2 linked regions of the Alligator mississippiensis genome follow. The protein of the gene in region 1 interacts with the protein of each later gene in a pairwise test. Links are inferred from orthologs where the notes say so. Each region holds a gene or a part of one and is shown in the gene's direction. Other genes may lie near its edges.

The links.
Region 2: the proteins of TROAP (region 1) and DYRK1B interact in binary tests that used the Homo sapiens proteins (3 or more experiments, as listed by UniProt). The link is inferred for Alligator mississippiensis from reciprocal best matches to the Homo sapiens genes TROAP and DYRK1B.

Annotation. Positions count from the first base shown.
Region 1 is NC_081838.1:6,716,798-6,726,686, forward strand, and holds the start of TROAP (tastin), read left to right. Parts: upstream 1-5,219; coding exon 5,220-5,224; intron 5,225-5,430; coding exon 5,431-5,749; intron 5,750-5,833; coding exon 5,834-5,969; intron 5,970-6,257; coding exon 6,258-6,427; intron 6,428-6,982; coding exon 6,983-7,076; intron 7,077-7,154; coding exon 7,155-7,342; intron 7,343-7,538; coding exon 7,539-7,632; intron 7,633-7,717; coding exon 7,718-7,797; intron 7,798-8,020; coding exon 8,021-8,077; intron 8,078-8,285; coding exon 8,286-8,366; intron 8,367-8,514; coding exon 8,515-8,637; intron 8,638-8,830; coding exon 8,831-9,125; intron 9,126-9,284; coding exon 9,285-9,496; intron 9,497-9,630; coding exon 9,631-9,795; 3' UTR 9,796-9,889. Other genes in the region: PRPH (peripherin), read left to right, coding at 786-846, 1,136-1,231, 1,820-1,981, 2,092-2,217, 2,389-2,609, 2,681-2,730, 3,305-3,435. UniProt on the Homo sapiens protein: Could be involved with bystin and trophinin in a cell adhesion molecule complex that mediates an initial attachment of the blastocyst to uterine epithelial cells at the time of the embryo implantation.
Region 2 is NC_081838.1:29,158,026-29,167,840, reverse strand, and holds the start of DYRK1B (dual specificity tyrosine-phosphorylation-regulated kinase 1B), read left to right. Parts: upstream 1-4,994; 5' UTR 4,995-5,525; coding exon 5,526-5,709; intron 5,710-9,815. Other genes in the region: FBL (rRNA 2'-O-methyltransferase fibrillarin), read left to right, coding at 352-433, 906-1,040, 1,368-1,508, 1,648-1,742, 2,118-2,288, 2,390-2,522, 3,218-3,330, 3,630-3,775 and 1 more.

The DNA of each region.
Region 1 (9,889 bases):
GGGGGCTGCGTGCTTAAGCAGACCTGCGGGTCTGCGGGGCCGGGGTGGAGGCTCCAGCAGAGCTGCGGGGTGTTGGGGGCTCCGGGGCCGGGCCGGGCCGGGCCGGGCCGGGCCGGGCAGGCTGCCGGGTGCGGCAGGGCGCGGGGAGGAGCGGGGGCTGCGGCAGGGGCGAGGCGGGCGGCGCAGACGCTGCAGCGGCCTCTCTGGGCTCCATGCAGCCTCATCCCCGCAGGGAAGAGACGCAGCCTCCCCCCTCCCCTCCCGTCCTGCTGGGCTGGTGCGGGGCAGGGGGGCTCAGCGGAGCCCAGAAGCCCGGGGATGGGCACAGGGTGGGGCCGGGGCTGGACCCTGCCTTTAGGGGCCTGGGGCATCAGGCTGGGACCCGTCCCCCCGGGACCTGAGGCCCGGGCAGAGCCGGCTGGGTGGGGGCTGCATCTCCATCCCGCAGCCGCAGGGGCGGGTCACTGCAGCGGTGGGGGGCAGGGAGGGGCGTGTGGCAGGAGCCGGGGCTTGTGTGTCCCCCCTCCCCTCCATGCCCGGGGGCTGCCGGGCGGGGCCGCCCGATTCCTCCTGCCTTGGGCACCTTTGAGGCCCCCCTGTATCCAAAGGGGGTGGGGGTGCTTTCCCCTGCTGCCCCGCCTTTCTGCCCCACTGAGCCCGGAGGGAGGGGGGGGCGGGCAATGGGGCACGTGGGAGGCGGGGAGGGAACGGGCGAGGCCCGGGGGGTCCCCAGGGCAGGGGCTGCCCGCATCTCCGGTCTGACCCCTCCGCTCCCCTCCTCGCAGGCTGGAGAACGAGACCCACAAGCGGGAGGAGGCGGAGAACAACCTGGTGCTGTTCCGGAAGGTGCAGGGCTAAGAGGGGGTCCATGGGGTGGGGCGGGGGAAGCCAGGTCCCACGCGCGATCTCGGACACGCGTGTGCACATATCTGGCCCAGCGGCTCCGCCGAGTCCCGGCTCGTCCCCGCCGGCCACACACGCCCCAGACCCCCCCCCCCCCCCCCGCCCAGCTGAGGGCGCAAGGACACGCGTGAGCACACTCGTGTCCTGCTGCCCCGGAGCAGCCCAATGGAGCTGGGGGGGGAAGGTGATCTGCAGCCCGGGCTGCTCTGAAACCCCCCCCCCCTCCACGCAGGACGTGGATGACGCCACGCTGTCGCGCCTGGAGCTGGAGCGCAGGATCGAGTCACTGATGGATGAGATCGAGTTCCTGAAGAAGCTGCATGAGGAGGTGGGGGGTGCGGACCTGGGGATGGGGGGGCAGGTGGGGGGTGAGGACTTAAGGATGGGGGCAGGCCCGGGGGTGCGGATCTGGGGATGGGGGGGCAGGTGAGGTGTGCTGACCTGAGGATGGGGGGGGGGTGCTGATCTGGGGATGGGGAGGACAGGCCAGGGAGGTGCTGACTCTGGGAATGGGGGAGGCAGGCAGGGGTGCTGGCCTGGAGGGCGGGGTAGCCCTGGGAGTGCGGACCTGGGAATCGGGAGGAGGGTGGCAGGTCTATGGGGCACTGACTCTGGAGATGGAGGGGCAAGTCTAGGGGGTGCTGACTTGGGGGGGGCACGCTGGGGACCCCAGGAGTTGAGCAAGCTGTGACCTGGCCCGGGTGGTCTGCAGGGAATCCCCCCTGCACACTTTGCAGCCGAGATGCCTTTGCGCCACCTGGTGCTAATGCACAGAACTGCAGGTGCCCGCGGGCCGCAAGAGGGTGGGGGAGGCAGGCTGAGCAGCCTCTTTAGGGGAGGGGGCCGGTGGTGCAGCGTTCCCGGGGGTCTGCCTGATGCTCTGCTCTGTCCTGGCGCTTGTGGTGGGCACGGGCAGGAGCTGCGTGACATGCAGGAGAGTGCCCAGAGCCAGCAAGTGCAAGTGGAGATGGAGCAGGTCAAGCCGGACCTGACGGCTGCACTGCGGGAGATCCGCACCCAGTACGAGAGCATCGCAGTGAAGAACCTGCAGGAGGCCGAGGAGTGGTACAAGTCCAAGGTCAGCACCCTGGAAGCTGCCCCAGGCCGAGGCCTGTGCTAGGGTAGCGGGTACAAGGCCCTGACACAGCTCCTGACCCCTGCCCTGATGGTGCCATCCCCACCCCTCAGTTCGCTGACCTGTCAGACGCAGCCAACCGGAACCACGAGGCACTGCGCATGGCCAAGCAGGAGATGAACGAGTCCCGGAGGCAGATCCAGAGCCTGACCTGCGAGGTGGACGGCCTCAAAGGAACCGTGAGTCCCTGGGGTGCATTGCACCCCACAGCAGGGTGCCCGGGCGCTAGGACAGCACCCCCTGCCACCTGCCTTGTGCAGCATGCCGGGGGGGGGGGCTCAGTCTGAAGCCAGTCATCCTGGGCCTCGGGGACTGTGAGCTCACCTCCCCCCACCTCTTGCACCCCCCAGAACGAAGCGCTGCTGCGGCAGATGCGGGAGCTTGAGGAGCAGTGTGGGGCGGAGATCAGCAGCTACCAGGACACGGTGAGGAGGCTGGAGCAGGAGATCCAGCACATGAAGGAGGAGATGGCGCGGCACCTGCGTGAGTACCAGGACCTGCTCAACGTCAAGATGGCGCTGGACATCGAGATCGCCACCTACCGCAAGCTGCTGGAGGGCGAGGAGAGCAGGTAGGCGCTGCACCAGGGTGGGCAGTGGGGCAAGGCCCGGGCACATGCTCACCACCCTGTCTGTCCCCCAGGATCACTGTGCCCATGCAGCTGATGCCCTCCTTCACCATGAAAAGCTCAGGTGAGTCCATGCCCTCAGTGCTGTGGGAGGGACGGGGGGAGGGCACAGTCTTGTGTGCCTTGTCCCCGGGCATCTCTGCCCCCTGTGCACCCAGGACCTTGCATGCCTGAGGCCTGGAGGGCAAAGGGAGAGGAAGGACTTGGAGACCTCCCTGATGGTCCCCTCTGCCCACCAGTGCCAGAGCCAGAGCCGGTGCCAGTGGTGGAGACACACACCAGAAAAATGGTTCTGATCAAAACGATTGAGACCCGGGATGGAGAGGTGAATGCCCCCCCACTGCCCAGCGCAGCCTCCACCTGGGACTGGGCCCAGCCCAACATTGGCTGGACTTGGGGGCAGGTACAGGGTGGGAGAAGGGACACCTGCGTTCTCTCCTGGCCCTGGCAGGAGCCAGGACTCCTGGGTTTCACTCAGGCCTGGGGACGCATGACCTAATGGCTAGAGCAGGGTCCGCTGGATGCCTGGGCTCCATCCCAGCTCTCCTGGGGGCGTTGCTTCCCCCTCAAGCTGCCACATGGGCAGGCCCCAGCCTGGCACAGAGGGACACCGGGTCTGACCCCTTGCTCCTTGGCAGGTGGTGACGGAGTCGCAGAAGGAGCAGAGAGCGGAGTCAGAGAAGTGACCCCAGCACCAGGCTCCGCGCAGCCCCCCACTGCAGCCCGCCCCCCACTCCCCCACGCCGCACCGGCCTTACACGACTACTGATACCTCTGAGCCCCGGCACCCCCGCACACCCAACTTCCACCGGCCCATGGTGCTCGGGGACGGGAGAGCAGAGCAATAACCCCCCTGGGTAGGGGCTGCTGGCAGGGAGGGACCTAGGAGTCCTGCCCTGCCCTGCCCCCACCCAGCTTCCCCTTCCCCTGCCTCCTCCAGGGGGCCTCCACCTTCTTCTGAAGCATCAGGACCTGCCTCACCAACACCACTGGCACGGGGAGGGGGGCAGAGCCTGGCACTGGTGGAGGCTGACACCAGGATCCAGGACCAGCTGGCGCCTGCAGGGCTGTGTCCTGGGCCTGGCGCTGCCTGGGCCCCCCACGGAGGCGGGTGCCGGCGCTGCTGCTGTTCAAGTGTGGTGCCTATAGCGAGTGCTTCCTGCCCAGAGCCAGGGTCCCACCCGGCCCGAAGGGCTGATACCAAAGCTGCCCCATTTTTATACTATGGCCCGTCTCCCTGCTTCCAGCATGGACTTGCCCCAGCACCCATCTCTGCCTCCTGCAGCCAGGCCCAGCTGCAAAGCTGTGCCCCAGGCCCAGGGTTCACCTAGGCCAGAGGGCTCGGGGTGGTGGCATCCATCTGGCACGAGTCTGGGCCATTCCCTGACCCTGGCTCTTTTCTCTGCAGCTCCCCCTGTTCTGTGCTCTGCTCCCCCTCTGTTACACTCGGTGCCTCTGCCTCAGCATCCCCTCCCTCTGCCTCGGTCTGCTCTGGACCAAACCAGGGGGATGTGACTGGGGCCACTCGGCCAGCTGCACCCCTTCCCCTCCAGCCCTGGGGGACCCCCCCCACACCTGCTGCAGGAGTTGCTGTGGTGCTCCTGGGTCTTCCCCGACCTGCCTGAACAGCGACGGACCCCCGCTGTGTATCCGCTTGTCCAGCCAATAAAGAGCCTAGTGAGGAGCTCTGCTCTGCTGTGTCCCCCTTGTGGCACCGGGGCTGGGGGGGAGGCAAGGCGGTGACTCCAGTGTTACCACAGTCCTGGGGACACTGGGGCTGCAGCCCATGGTGGTTGTGGCATCCTGTGAGCCGGGGCGTGGAAGCAACCTGCCATTCCAACTTACAGTTTAATTATAGTTTAATTACGGTTTACTTAATGACCGCCCTCCCCTCTGTGCTCTGGGCCAGTGGGGCCAAGTGCAACAGACTGGGCCATGTGACTGGAGGGTGCCCTGGCAGCGGGGGGGGGGGGGTGCTGAGGACTCCGGGGGGTCTCACCCAGCCCTGGGGGGTCTGGGCAGGCCTGGGGTCTTTGTTTCTGTCTGGGGGAGGTGACCTGGGCTGGGCAGGATGGGGCTTGTACAGCTCCTGGAACGGGGCGGGGGGGAGACGGGATCCCACCCGCGAGGGCGGTAGGGGGCAGCCCAGTGCCTGCCGTTGTGTCGGGCTGGGGGGTCTGCCGGTTCAACCCCGCCTTTGCCAGAATTAGTTAGCTGTCCCCATGAGCCCCCTCCTTCCCTCCACCGCTGGATTTCTGCCTGTCTCTTTCCCCTGGAAGGAGCGGACCTACTTTATAGCCGAGTAAACTGAGCCCCCCCCGCCCATTGGATTTCTGCCTCTCTTGTTCCCCCGAAGGAAGAGAACTTATTTTATAGCCGGGTAAACTGAGGCCCACCCCGCTCCCCCGGCCCGTTGGATTTCTGCCTCTGTCCCTGCCCTGGAAGAAAGGGACCCATTTTATAGCTGGGTAAACTGAGGCACGGAACGACTCGGACCCAAGGAGCGCGCCCCCAGTCTCTTCCTTCTCCCCCCGGGGTCGGGGCTAGATCGCAATGACGTCACTGACACGCCAGGTGTTCCCGCCCTCCATGCGCTAAGTGAAATCTCGCGAGATCACCCCTCCCCCGGAGGGAAACCCACGAATCCCCCCCCTTCGCCCCGTTCTTCGCTCCCTATTGGCTCGCTCTGCGCCCGTCCCCGCCCCCGCGCGGGCCAATGAGAGCCGGTTGCTGTTTTATGAACCGGCGGGCGCTGCCCAATCAGCGGGCGCGCGGCTGGGGCGGAATTCACGCGGGCAGGTGCGTCGCCCGTGGGAGGGGTTCTCCAGGGGCGGGGCCTCCATGTGGCGGGGGTGTCCCCGGTGCGTGCGTGGGTCCCGGTCGCGCGTGGAGCCGGCCGGGACCCGGAGCTGCAGCCGCCTCCGCTTCCTCCCGCGGGTGCTCGCGACCGCGCAGTGGGGCTCACCGGGTCTGTCCCTGCAGCCGCGAGTCCCGGAGCCCTGGCGGCGCGGAGAGACCCCCGCTCCCCGCGGGGCCGCGAGAACGGCCCGGGCCCCAGCGCCAGCCCCGGGCCCGGCGGCCAGGTGAGTGCCCGGGAGCAGCCCCCCGGCCCGGGAGCCGAGACGCGGGGCAGCGCCTGTCCCCGCGTGACCGTGTCTGCCCCGCAGGGCAAGGCCCCGAGGACGCAGCCCAGCCCCGGCCCCGCGGGCTGGTGGAGGAGCCGGCCCCGGGCCCCCCTGGAGGAGATCCAGCTGGGGGCGGGGGGGCAGAAGAAGGTGCCCGAGAGCAGCGCCGCCAGCAAAGGTATCGGGGCAGGATGCTACCCTGGCACCCCGGGTGCCGCCACCCAGGCTAAGCAGGGTGTGGGGCCGTCGGCCCCAGTGTGGGCAGGTCGGGCGGGGGGGTTGATGTCGTGTTTCTGGGGCTGCCCCCAGTCCCCTGCTCCGTGCATGGAGCTGCGCCTGCCCGGAGCCACCCCAGGACCCACACGTAGGGTCGTTGCTCTTGCTTCCCCGCTGCGTGCCAGCAATGCCAGCTCCAGGCCTGGCAGGGGCGGTGGGCCTGAGCCCTCCCTTGTGCTCCCTCCGGCAGATGCCAGTGCGGTGGAGTTCGTGGCTGACCCGGCGGCGCTGGCCGGCATCCTCTCCAACGTGAGGCTGTGCAGCCCTGTCCTGGGCCCGGGCGGGAAGCCCAGCCTGGCACGTCGCATCCCCCTGAGAGGCAGCAGGAGCAACTCCCTCCTGGCCCAGGGCAACACAAAGGTAAGTCCCTGCCAGAGTCCCCTGAGCCCATGCTGCCCCGCGGGCACGGGGTCATGGCGTCTGGGGTGAAGCTTGGTGGCTGTAGGGAGGTGCCTGGGATCCTAGAGGCTGGGGGAGGACAGTGTGGTCTAGTGGTTTGAGCGGGTGGGGGGTGCCTTTAGAAGCTGGAAATGAGATTCTGTTCCTGGTTTCTCTGTCCTGCCTCGGTTTCCCCTTCCTGAAGGCCTGTCCGTGTGTGTGCAAACAGGCCTGCACGCCCTTCCTGCTCTGGGCTGAGATGCAAGGTCCTTGGGTCCTCGGGGTGGAGAGGGGATGGGACAGGAGGGACAGGCCTCCTCCGTGCAGCCTCCTGCTCCACTCCCCGGCACACGCAGGCTACTGGGGTCGTCCCCCAACCCAGTTTGCTGCTTGGAGGGGCAGAGGCATCGGCCCGGGGGATTCTGGTGGGCGGCTGGGCTGGGCCCCCAGCGTAGGCGGTGGCTGCAGGCAACTGCATCCTCAAGGGGGTGGGAGGTCCCTTCTTGCAGACGGGGCTGACATCTCTTCTCCCCCCAGGGCAGCAGGGCCTTGTCGCTGAGCACCCGTGGGAGCGTCCCCCCACGGCGTGACTCTGCTCGTGGGTCCTGCCTCTCTGCCACAGGACAGGAAGGTAGGGCTGGCAGGACCCTGCCCGGGGCCGGGTGGGCTCAGCACCTGGACACCTGCCCTCACGCTCCTTCTCCCCCAGGTCTGGAGGCATGGGCAGCCCCCTCCCCCTTTGGCCGGGTGCCGGTGAAGAAGGCAACACCTGGCGCTCACCCCTCTCCCTTCGGCCGGGTGCTGGCGAGGAAACTCCAGTCCACAGTGTGTGCAGACGCACCTGGCACCCATGCCTCTCCGTCTGGCCAAGTGCCCGCGATGACGCCCCTGCCCACGGTGCGCATGGCAGGTGGCGGCAGGGGCTTGTGTGTTAGGAGGATCAGGGTGGGGGGGGTGTCTGCATGGCTGTTTGCTTGCTGTTCTGGGGGAGGGGGCTGTCCAGGCCCCCCGCACAGCTGCAAGGCCGGGAGGCAGTGCCAGCTCCCACCCCTTCTCAAGGCCAGGAGCTGATGCTGCCTTCTTCCCCCCCCAGGGCAGCACGGCCTCTCTGCTTGGCACCCACGAGGGCATCCCCACAAGGGGTCACTCTGCTCGGTTGTCCTGCCTCTCCACCATGGGCCAGGAAGGTAGAGATGGCGGGGCCTAGGCTGGGTGTGGGCTCAATGCCTCTCGCCCCCATGGCGTCCTGCTCTTACGCTTCTTCTCCCTCAGGTCTCCCCCGGGTACCCCACACATCCGACGTCCACTCCTCCCCGTTCAGCCACACGCCAGTGACGCAGCCCCAGTCCCCGGTGCGTCCAGCTGGGTGGGAGCAGGAGCTCGGGCTGGGTGGGTGGACCGGGGAGGGGAGGGTCTGCATGGCTTCTTGCTTGCTGCCCTGGGTGGGAAGGATGCCCCCGGGGCCTTCTCAAAATGGGATGGGGGAAGACCCCACAGATGCCTGGGTCCTCTCCACAGGCCAAGCAGGGGCCAGAGGCTCCATGCTCCCCACGTCTCACCATGCTCTCTCCCCAGCCCAACCCCGCCTGTGCCAGGGAGATGGGGGACAGGCACCAGCTACACGTGGAACAGGTGGGTGCACATCTGGGGGGGGCTCCTGACTGGAGGGTTCTGAGGATGGGGGTGCCCTGTCCCCATTTTGTGGGTGGGGGGCTTTGACCCTCTGTCTGATGCTGCTTCTGCTCTGGGGGCATGGTCTGAGCTCTCCCAGGCTCAGCTGTGGGGGGGGTGGGAGATGGAGCAGGACTAGGGGTTTCAGCTGACGGGACCCCCTCCACAGACCCCAGGCAGGTGTGGAGCTGGGCAGCCCTGCAGCCCTGACGTGGGAGGCAGCGACCCCCGTGAGACAGCCCAGCCCTGGGTGAGTGCCTGGTGGGGGTCGGGGTGGGCCTGACCAGGGCTGGGAGGTGTCACCTGCAGCATCCTGGGGCACCCCCTAGGTCCCCTGCTTCCCAGATGGGGGCAGGTGGTGGCTACTGGCCCCACACCCTGACAGCGCCTCCCTGCAGGAGAAGGTTGCTGTGCGGCGGCTCTTCGAGGACGAGGACGAAGACGGCCAGGGCGACCTGGGCGGCTCCCACAGCCGAGCACCAGCCCAGGTGGGCACCCCCCACAGCATCAGCAAGGAGCAGGTACACCCTCCCAGGGCAAACCAGTTCTGTGCGTCAGCACAGGGGACAGTGGGGGAGGGCTGCCCCCTTGTAGCAGCTGGGGGGTGGCTGGCTGGGGTGGGTGTATGGGGAGCTGGAGGAAAAGGTCTATGCTGGGGTGGGGTGACCTTGCCCCCCACCCCCATGTCTGACTCCCGTTCCCACCCTCTTGCAGCATATCCAGCGGTTCCTGCAGAAAGCAGTGGAGGGGGTGGATGACGCCACCCCACTGGACGAGCTCCATGCCCTGCTGGCTGCCTATCCCCCCTCCTGCCTGCCCGTGCCCCCCTGCTCTGCCCCTGTGCCTGGCCTGGTGCTGGGTGACCATCGTCTAGATCCCACTTCCAGGGCAGTACCGCAGGGTGGCACTGGGGGCTTCCAAGGGGCAGGAACCACCTTGACCTTCTCCTCATTACGCCCGCTCTGCGCCAGCCCCCCCATCCACTCCCTGCGGGCCCCCGGCCCCCCAGGTATGGTGCTGCGCCTGCCCACCCAGGCTCTTCCCTCTTGGAGATGCCAAGGGTTGGGGATTGCCTGGCTCAGGGGGGCAGGGGCACTGCTTTGTGCCCCCCGTGGCAGGTAGGAATGGGGGGCCGGGTCTGGCTGCTGACCATGCCCGCTGCCTGCAGCCGCAAGGACAATGCTGGCCGTGCGCCCCTCCCGCCTGGCCCTGGCGAAGCAGCGGCTGGACTCCCTGCTCCGTGCGCCCCAGCGCTTCCTGGACGCCTGCCTGGACGATGAGTGCGCCTTCTACACCGGCCGTGCGCCTGGCACCCGGCCCCTGCCCTCCCGCACCTGCCCCAACCCCGTGGCCCTGCAGCTGGAGGCAAAGGATGCTGCGGTAAGTGGGGCCTGGTCCTGGGACAGCACCAGGGGCTGGTGGGGCAGGGCAGGGGGTGGGAGCCAGGATCCGCCCCAGGTGGAGCTCTGCTGGCACCAGCCGCTGAGTCTCGGTCTATCCGTCTCTCCCTGCAGTACTTCGTGTCCATCAGCCCGCCAGGCCCTAGGGCCCCCTCCTCGGTGCCAGCTGTCAGCTTACCACAGCCGGCCCAGCCCCCTGAGGGTGATATTGGGGCTGGAGGCCCAGCCCTTGGACTACTCGAGGACCGTGCCCCAGCCTCCTCCAGTCTTGCTGTGTGAGCCGAGGGGGCAGGGTCCCCCTCTTGCCTGCGGCCTGTGATAGGAAGGGGCTGTGGGTGCCCCCGGCAGCTGTGCCCAGCCCCTGCCAGATGTT
Region 2 (9,815 bases), about 22 Mb from region 1:
CGTCCTTGCATGACACTGCCTTCCCTCAGCCACCTTTCACCCTGTGACATCACAGGAGACACCTGACCTCCCCCAGAGAGCTGACATCAGACAGCACAGATCTAAAGTTGAGAAAAACTTTCATCCTGTGACGTCACGGGGAAGGCTAACCTCACAGTCTAGCACCACGTCACACCCCAGAGCGGTCCAAAGACAAATTACTTGACGTCACAGGGAGAGAGAGAGACAAATGTGACGCCACAAAAATCGCCCCCCCTCCCCCGCCCCGCAAGCACGTCCTCTGGTCTTTCCGCTGACGTCACCGCGGGCCGCGAAGCCAACTTCCGGTGTGGGCGCTCCGGGCGCCCGCGCATGCGCATCGCGCCCCGCGCCAGCCAGCACCGAATCCAGCGTGGTCCGGCCCCGGGGAGCGCACGTGGGAGCATGAGGCCCGGTGAGCGCGGGGCGGGGGGGGCGGGTCCTTGCAGCTGCTGCCGGGGGGGGAGCCCCCCCACGCGATCCCGGGACGCCTGCCTTCTCAGCCTTGCGGGGGGGGACTGTAGCTGGGCAGCCCCCCCAAGCTCGGAGCCCCCTATTCACTGGGGGCAGGACTCCGGGGTTCCGGGGGGGGGGCTTGGATCAGGTTGGGGTGGGCAGCAGACTGAGGGTGTGTGGGGGGATAACACCCCCCAGCTGAGCCCCTCCCCCCCAGTAAGGATAGTTGATGGGGCTTGGAGGTGGTGGGGTACTGGGGGGGTCCTTATATGTCTGGGAAGTCAAAGGGGCTGGGGGCATGTGGGGCAGGTGACATTGGGGGGACCTAGGAGTTGAGGGGGGAGCATTGGGGAGGGGGGCTTGCGTGAGGGATGGACTTGGTGGGGGGGAGGGGGGCATGTCTGACCTCCCCCCCTCCTTTCCACCCACAGGTTTCAGCCCCCGTGGGGGACGCGGCGGGTTCGGGGACCGTGGAGGGGGACGCGGCGGGTTCGGGGACCGTGGAGGGGGACGCGGCGGGTTCGGGGACCGTGGAGGGGGACGCGGTGGCTTCCGGGGAGGCAGAGGTGAGTTACATTCTCCCCCATCCACTCCTGGTTCGTGCTGGGAGAATCTGGTCAGCTGTCCCATCAAGCTTTGGGGCAGAGGGCCAGGCTCAGGGGTTGCCCTGCTGTGGGACTCTGCTGCCCCCTCTCGTTTTCATCTTAGCCAGGCCCCACCCCACACTTCCTGTCCCAAACGGCTCCCCCTGCCCCTCCACTTCCTGTCCCAAAAGGCTGGGACCCCATTTACTATCCTTACTATCGCAAAAGACTCCCCCGTCCACACTCCCCTACTTGCTGCAGGGTCCTGCCCACACTGGACCACATCCTTCTCCCCCTTTTCTTTCCCAGGTGGCAGTTTTGGCCGAGGAGGTGTTGGCGGCCGAGGAAGAGGAGGGCCTGGCCGGGGCGGCCGTGGTGGGGGGCGGGGTGGGGGCCGGGGGGGCTTCAGAGGGGGCAAGAAGGTGACAGTGGAGCCCCACAGGCACGAAGGTACTGGAGTCTGGGGCAGGGGCTGGCGCTGGGGGGTAGGGACACCTTGGCGGGGCTTGGGTTGGAGCCTGGGGTGGGTGGGACCATGGGGGGGTGCTATTCTGGCTCTGACCCCCTCCCCATTCGTAATCCCTTCTAGGGGTCTTCATTTGCCGGGGCAAGGAAGATGCACTCGTGACCAAGAACCTGGTGCCGGGCGAGTCAGTGTATGGGGAGAAGAGGATTGCGGTGGAGGTACGCAGAGCCTGGGGGGGAAGGGGATCAAAGGCGGGTGGAGGTGTCTGGATGGGAGTGTCAAGAGGGATGTGGTGGGGATGGGGATCAGGATGGGGGCATTGGGGTAGGGGGAGGTTTGAATGGTGGTGTCGAGGGGGCTGGTTCTGGGAGGGGGGCCCCCAGTGGTTATGTGGGGGGCAGAAAGGCTAGGCTACTGGGTCCCAGAGGGCACTGGGCACACCACTTCCAGGGGCCGATCCAGGAGGCATCTTGGTACCCAGGAGTCCAAGCTGGGGTGAAAGGGCCCTCAGAAGGCCCCAGGGGTTGGGGAAAGGTTTGAGCAGACTCCCTCCCCCCCAGCCCTGATTTGTTCCCTCTCCCACCGCTGGGCAGGATGGCGAGGCCAAGGTGGAGTACCGGGCCTGGAACCCCTTCCGCTCCAAGCTGGCAGCCGCCATCCTGGGGGGCATCGACCAGATCCACATCAAGCCGGGCGTCCGTGTGCTGTACCTGGGCGCTGCCTCAGGCACCACCGTCTCCCATGTCTCGGACATTGTGGGCCCCGTAAGTACTGGGACCCCCTACCCTGGATGGGGGGGGGGGGGGAGGCGAGGGGGCAAAAGGGATTACCCCCCCCTCCAGCTTAACCCCATGCGCCCCCCCAGGAAGGCCTGGTCTACGCTGTGGAGTTCTCCCACCGCTCCGGCCGTGACCTCATCAACGTGGCCAAGAAACGCACCAACATCATCCCCGTCATAGAGGATGCCCGGCACCCCCACAAATACCGCATGCTGATTGGTGAGTCCCCCCTAGGTCCCCTCCCCCCCTTGACTCCTCCTACCTCCCCCTGCCAGTCGTTCTCCCCTGGGGTCCGGCTGCACTCAGGGGGGCCCTGCCATTGGCTTTCCCCGGGGCAGAGGGGTGTCCTGGGAGCCCCCAGACTCCAGAGTCCTCTGTTGCTGTAGTGAAAGTCTAGCTGGTCTTCGGGTCTTTGTACTGGGGATCCTTGAGACCCCCTTCCCCCACCTCCCCCTGGACACTTGCGTTCTCTGCAGCCACTGCTGAAGCCTGACCAGGCACGGGGTCTTTGTATTGGGGCTCCCTGGGAGCCCCCAGACTCCTGGATTCTCTCCTGCTGCTAAAGTTCAGTCGGGCATGGCATCTGCCAGTCGGGGCTCCTAAGACCCCCCTGGATGCCTGGATTCTCTGCAGTCGCTGTTGAGGCCTGGCCAGGCTTGGGGTCGGCCTGTCAGGGCTCCTCTGGGGGCTCCAAATTCCTGGGTTTTTCCTGCTGTTACTGAGGCTCGTCTGTGCACAGGGTCTTCCTACCCGTGCTGTTCAGGGACCTGCCTCTCCCCTGACAACTGGGTTTCCTTTCCCAGTGCTGATATCACAAGACAGGTGGAGTTGGGGGGGGGTGTAGTTGATTTGCTGGGGGATCACAGCGTCCCCTGATCTCTGGGTCATGACTCACAACCATGCCCCCCCTCCAGGCATGGTGGATGTGATCTTTGCCGATGTGGCGCAGCCTGACCAGTCCCGTATTGTCGCCCTCAACGCGCACAACTTCCTGAAGAACGGCGGCCACTTTGTTATCTCCATCAAGGTAATGAGCATGCCTTCTCCCCCAGACACAGACCCACCCCCCACCTGCAGCCCACTCATTTCCCCTCCATGGGAATCAGACTCCTGGGTTGGCTTCTGCTGCCATTAAGACCCAGCTAGGCACCAGGGTGACTCGGTTCTTTCTCCCACTGTGGAGAAATGGGGAAGCCTTTTGGCCTAGAGGGTAGGGGTTGGGGAGACTCAGGAGGGGGACGCACCAGAGCTTGGTGCGTGTGGTTGGGCAGTGGGCTTTGGCCCGGCAGGGCCAGGGGGCTGACTCTGACCTTGGGGGTGTCACAGGCCAACTGCATTGACTCAACGGCGGCGCCCGAGGCCGTGTTTGCAGCCGAGGTGAAGAAGATGCAGCAGGAGAACATGAAACCACAAGAGCAGCTCACACTGGAGCCCTACGAGCGTGACCACGCTGTGGTGGTGGGCATCTACCGGTATGGCAAAGGGGCTGGGGGGGGGCGGGGGGGTCACTGGGTCCTGGCCCACATTCCAGGGACGGGGGTGGAGAACTGGGGTCTGAAGTGGAGGAACTTCCCAGTGCCAGGGGAAGGGAATCTGTGGGGGAGGTCTCAGGTGGGGATCCCCTGTGTGCAGCGGTAGAGGGGGGATTGCCTGGGAAGAATCCCCCATCTCAGGGGTCTCACCTGCCCCCATCTCCCTCCCTTCCAGGCCTCCCCCCAAGGCGAAGAAGTAGCACCTCCATGGACCCCACCCTCCTCGCTGCCCCGCCACCGAGGCGCTATCCAAGGAACCCAGGAGTTCGGGGGGGGCCCAGCCCCAGGGTGGTTTGGGTCCCCCCTTCCCCAATTTTTATTTTTTTTTGACATTTCCAGATGTATTTTTATTAAAATATGGGAAATCAGCAGCAGAAATCGGTGCAGCTGGCAGGGGGCCTCTGGTTGCAGCCTCCTGCCCTCTGCTAGGGGCAGGGGTTGTTTTGGGGGGGGGGGTGATATAGGGGTCCTCCACCCCCCCATCTGTCTGGTTTCAGGAGGAGAGAACAGGGTGACTTTCCCTTTTCAAGGGTTGAGGGACTGGGGGGAGGGCAGCTCTTTGGGGGAAGGAAGGGATATTGGGTCTTGGATGCCCCCCCTGCCTACTTCCCTGTACACCTGGGTCCCTGTCCCTGGGTCGGTGTTGTCGTCCTCCCCCGCCCTGGGTGCCTGTTCCCCCTGCCTGGGATATCTGGGTCCCTGCTCCCCCTTGTTGCCCTTGATATTTGAGGGGGGGTTAGGTTGGGGACCTGTTTTTTGTGGGGTGGGGGGGAGACAGTGCAGGGGAGGGTCTGTGCTGGGGGTCTTAGTTATCTCTGGTGGGGGGGGTCATTGGTTGAGGGGGAGGTCTGATTTCTCAGAGGTGCTGGGGGGGCTGTTGGGGCCCTGGAGGGGATGGTGAATGTTGTGGGGGGGTAGTTTTTTGATGTGGTAGGTTTTCCTGGAGCAGGGGTTGGGAGGGGAGAGCACATTTAGGAAGGTCCTGCTTTCCTTGGGCTGGAGGAGGGGGGGCCCCAGGAGGGAAGTGGGAGGGGGGGTTTTTTGGCGGGGGGAGGCTGCCTGGCTGCTTGGGGGGCGTGGGGGGGAACACCTGCGGGGCTTGGGGGGGTGGAAATCCTCAAGGGGGAGTGACTATTTGAAGCCCCATCCCTTTGGGCGGTGGGCTCTTCCTGGCTGGGAGGGAAAGGGGCGCGTAGACCAGCCTCCCTCCTGCGGTCACGTGAAAGACATCAGGTGGACCCCGTTTGTGACGTCATCCCAGCGTACTGCCGGCCCTGATGCGCAGGAACGCTTTAAGAGGAGACTCCGTCTCAGCTCATGCGCAGAGGATGCGTGTGCACCGGTACCCCGTCCGATGGGGCGTCTTGTGGCCTATGCATGCGCAGGAGGGAGGGTGGCGGGCGCCTCTAGTAGCCGGCCCATGCACAGCATCCGCATCACGTGTCACCCCTCCCTAGCCAGCAGCTGCGCATGAGCAGAGCGTGACCGCCCTCCCTTTAGCCGGGCACAACTCGTGCGCAGCTTGTTCGTCATATTCCCCCATCCAGCTCGGCGCCGCGCATGCGCATCCTATGACTGACATGTCCCTCCCCCACTGTGCGTAGCGCATGCGCCGCCTGAGTCACGTGGTCCGCCCTGCCCAGCCGATCGTTGCGCATGCGCAAGGGGAGGGTCGGGGCGGTACGCGCGCATGCGCAACGAGCCGGTGGCAGTGCCCGCGCGTGCGCAGAGAAGCCGGGGCGGTGCACGCGCGTGCGCATTCGGGCGGCGGTGGCGGCGGTTTGTTGTGGCCGCCATTTTTTGTGGCATTACTGGGAAATCCCCGGGAGCCGCCGCCGGGCCCGGCCCGCGCCCCCCCCCGGCCGCTGCCGCAGGTGAGCCCCGCCTCTCAGCCGCCTGGGGCCCGTCCCCCCCCTGGGAGTCCGGACTCCCGGGTCCCCCGCCCCTCCCCCACCCCCGGCCCGCCCCGGACGCCTGGGTCCCTCCTCCGAGTTTGCCGGGACGCCTGGGTCCTGCCTCGGCCCGCCCCTCCCCGGCGCCTGGGTCCCGTGCCCGCCCCGCCCCGCCCCGCCGTACTTGAGAGCCTGGGTCCCCTGCCCCGGACACGCGCGCCTGCCTCCCGCCCTCCGCCCCGCGGCTCCTCGGCCCCTCCGCCCTGCCAGCCCTCAGGACCAGCCCGGGTGGGGCAGCTCTTCTCCCCGCCCCCCTGGTGATATGACCTTATGTGACCCCAAGTGTCTGCGGGGGTGTCTTTTCTCATCTCCTCTCCTTTGGGGGTTTGGCTGTCCCACGTAACCCCCCTCCCCGGACACTCGGGTCCCTTCATTTGTTCCTTCCCCCACCGGGTCCCTGTCCCGGTCACCTGCCCCCCCCACTGCCCCGGATGCCTGGGTCCCATCCTCTGTTGTGTGTCCCCCCACCCTTGAGATCTTGTTATCTGTCTCCTCCCAGACCCCTGGGCCCCTGTCATGTCCATGCCTCCCCACCCCCCACACATGTTCTCTCTGTACTGCCCCGCAGGCCTGCGTCCTTCAGACACCTGGGTCCATGGCTCCCCCCTCCCAAATGCCTGTTTTCATGTTCCCCTACTACTGCTCCTCCCCCCCCCCATGTCTGGGTCTCTATCCTCTATCCTCCCCCCCCAGCACCTGGGTCCATGCTCCTATTCCCCGTCCATGCCTGGGTCCCTCTCATCTGCCCCCCACCATGCTTGAGATCCTGTTCTCCCCCCCCTGCCCCAGACACCTGGGTCCCTATCATCCATCTTCTCTCCCCCCCCCCCCCCCAAAATGCTGGCTCCCTCTCATCTGCCTCCCGGCCCCCCCCCCCCCCCAAACACTTGGGTCTGTGCCTCCCTACGGCCCTGTCTACATTTCTCACTACCCGGAAAGTCTGAGTCCCTGCCCTCTCCCTCCCCATGCTTGTCCAGACTCTTGGGCCCCTCTTCGGGAGGGGAGCTGGGCACCAGCCTCTGCTTTTTGGGGGGATCCAGGGTTTAGGGGGGATGTTCTGGCTCTGGCTGTGGGGGCTTGGGAGGGGACCTGCTTTGTGGGGGGGGGGGGGGGAGCACTGGGCTCACACCCCCCACCCCCATATGGTAGAGGCAGCTGTCAGCTTGTCCCGATTTTTCCAGGGCACCTTCGCCAGCTGCTTTGTGACCCATTTTGGGCTCCTGGCAGCTGGGGAGGGCAGCCAAGGGGGAGGTCTGGTCTTGACCCAAGGGGGTGAGGAAGGCTGGGACCCTGCTCCTTCCTCTGTGCTCAGCTCCATGCCTCAGTTTTCCCGGTTGTGTTATGCGGGGCACCTGAGGCTCTGGCGAGGGTGCACTCACGCCCCTGGGAGCAGATCCCTCCCAGGTGGGGGTTGGGTGGCATCTGACCAGAAGCCTCTGGGGGCTGTACATACAGCACTTGGCATGGCATGGCCCAGTCCCGCATGGGGGCAGGCATGCTGGCTCAGATGTACAATACCTGGCACCTTGGGGTGGGTACATTGGCTGCTGTCCAGCCTCATCAGGACGATGTCCTTAACAAGCATTCAGCGGTAGGCAGGGAAACTGAGGCATGGAGCATGAGTGGGTGGCGTGGAAACTGAGGCACAGAGTATAACCAGCATCCAGAGCATAATGAGCATCCAGCGGGTGGTGGGGAAACTGAGGCACGGAGCCCCATCCCCCTCCAGAGCCCAGTGAGCACCACCGAAGGGCTTATGGGGTCCTTAAAGGGCCAGCAACTCGCTGGGAAACGGGCCCCTCTGGCCTTTCAGGGATGTGGCGCAACGAGCAACATGTACAGCACCGGGCTCGGGGTGGCTGGAGCTAGCCTTCTTCCAGGGGGCAGACCCTGCATGGCTTTATGCTTACTGGGGGGGGTCTCAGAGGTCGGTCTGGGGGCATTTCTGGACCCCCTGGGCACTTGTGGCTGCAGTGTGATCACAGCCACGTACAGCTCCAAGTGTGCTAGGCATGGGCAGGCGTGAGCCTGCCTCCTACCACTGGGCAGAGCCTGTGTGGTATCGTGGATACATGGGTGGGGCACAGAGCTGGGACCCCCAATGTATCTGGAATGAGTCACATAGGGCTCCAAGTGTGCTTGGCACAGAATGGCCAGATCCTACCTGCATTCTGGTGGATAGAGCCTGTGTGGCATCATGGGTACCTGGGTTGGGGCATAAAGCCAGGGAGGGGGTTACTGAGAAACGCCCCACTGTGCCTGGAGTGGGGTCAACCCCGAGTCGCACGTACAGCTCCAAGTGTGCTGGGCACAGGACAACCTGATCCTGCCTCCATCTGGAGGGGCAGAGCCTGTGTGACATTGTGGGTGCCCAGTGGGGGCACAGCCAGGCTAGGACATGCTGAGTGATCCCCCTGTGTGGCTGCAGTGAGATCAGCTCCATGTACAGCTCCAAGCACACCAGGCACAGGGTGGCCTGATCCTGCTTCCTTCTAGTGGGCAGAGCCTACTTGGCAGTGTGGGTACCCAGGATGGTCACAGAACTGGGGTGGGGGACCCTGAGAGATGCCCCCCCCCATGTACCTGGACTGGGATCAGCCCTGAGTTGCACCTACAGCTCTGAGTGCACTGAACACAGGGCGCTTAATCCTGTCTCCTGGCAGTGGGCAGAGTCTGTTTGACTGTGGTTACCTGGTGGGGGGGTCTACAGGGCCTTGAGGGGACCCCCATGTGTCTGGAGTGGGATAAGCAATGAGCTGCCTGTATGGGTCTGTGTGTGCCAGGCACAGGCCTGCCTCATCCTGCCTCCGTTTGTGCCCCCCATCCTGCTCCGTTTGTATGTGGCATCATGGGTGCCCAGTGGGAGCACAGAGCCAGGGTAGGAGGTGCGGTGCAGAGTGACCCCCTGTGCAGCTGTGGTGACATCAGCTCCATGTACAGCTCTGAGCACACGGGGCGCAGAGTGGCCTGATCCTGCTTCCTTTCACTGGGCGGAGCCAGCATGACATCACGGTTACCTGGTGGGGTCACAGAGCGGGGTGGGGGGCACTGAGGGGATTTCCCCCCCACTTTCCCCATGTGCCTGGAATGGGATCAGCCCCAAGTTGCACATAAAGGTCTGAGCGCACTGTGCATGGGATGGCCTGATCCTTCCTCCCTGTGGGGGCGGGGGGGGGGGGGGCAGAGCCTGTGTAGCATCCCTGGTGGGGGCGGGGGGTACAGAGCCGTGGTAGGAGGTGCTGAGTACCTCCTGTGCAGTTGTAGTAAAATCAGCTCCACAGGCTTGCCTGATCTTGCTTCCTTTCAGAGGGCAGAGCTTGTGTGGTGTCTTGGTTACAGGGGTCACAGAGCTGAGGTGGGGGGCCCTGAGGGGGACCCCTGATGTGCCTGGAGTAGGATCAGCAGTGAATACCATGTACAGCTCTAAGGATGCCAGGCACAGGGTGGCCTGATTCTGCCTCCGTTTGGGGAGACAGAGCCTGTGTGGCATCATGGGTACCCTGAGGGGTCACAGCCAGAGTAACCCCCTGCGTGCCTATAGTGACATCAGCTCCATGTACAGCTCTGAGCGTGCTGGGCATGGGGTGGTGTGCTGGGCATGGGGGGGGGGGGGGGGGGGGGGGCGCTGAGGGCCCCCCCCCATACCTGAAATGGGATCAGCCCCAAGTCATATGTAAGGCATACCAGGCACTAGCCAACCTGATCCTGCCTCCAACCCCTGGGCAGAGCCTACATGGCATTGTGGGTCCCTGAGAGGGGCACAGAGCCAGGGTGGGGGGCCCTGAAGGGACCCCCCCCCCAATGTGCCTGGACTATGATCAGTTGCATATACAGCTCTGGGCGTGCTGGGCATAGGCCAGCCTGATCCTGCCTCCATTGCAGAGGGCAGAGCCCGTGTAGCATCCTGGGTACGTTGGGGGGGGGGGCACATGTGCCTGGGGTGGGGTCAGCCTCAGCCGCTCAGAGGCACATCCAGCTCTGAGCGCACCAGTGGGGAAGGAGGGGGACCTGGGACCTGGGTTGGAGGT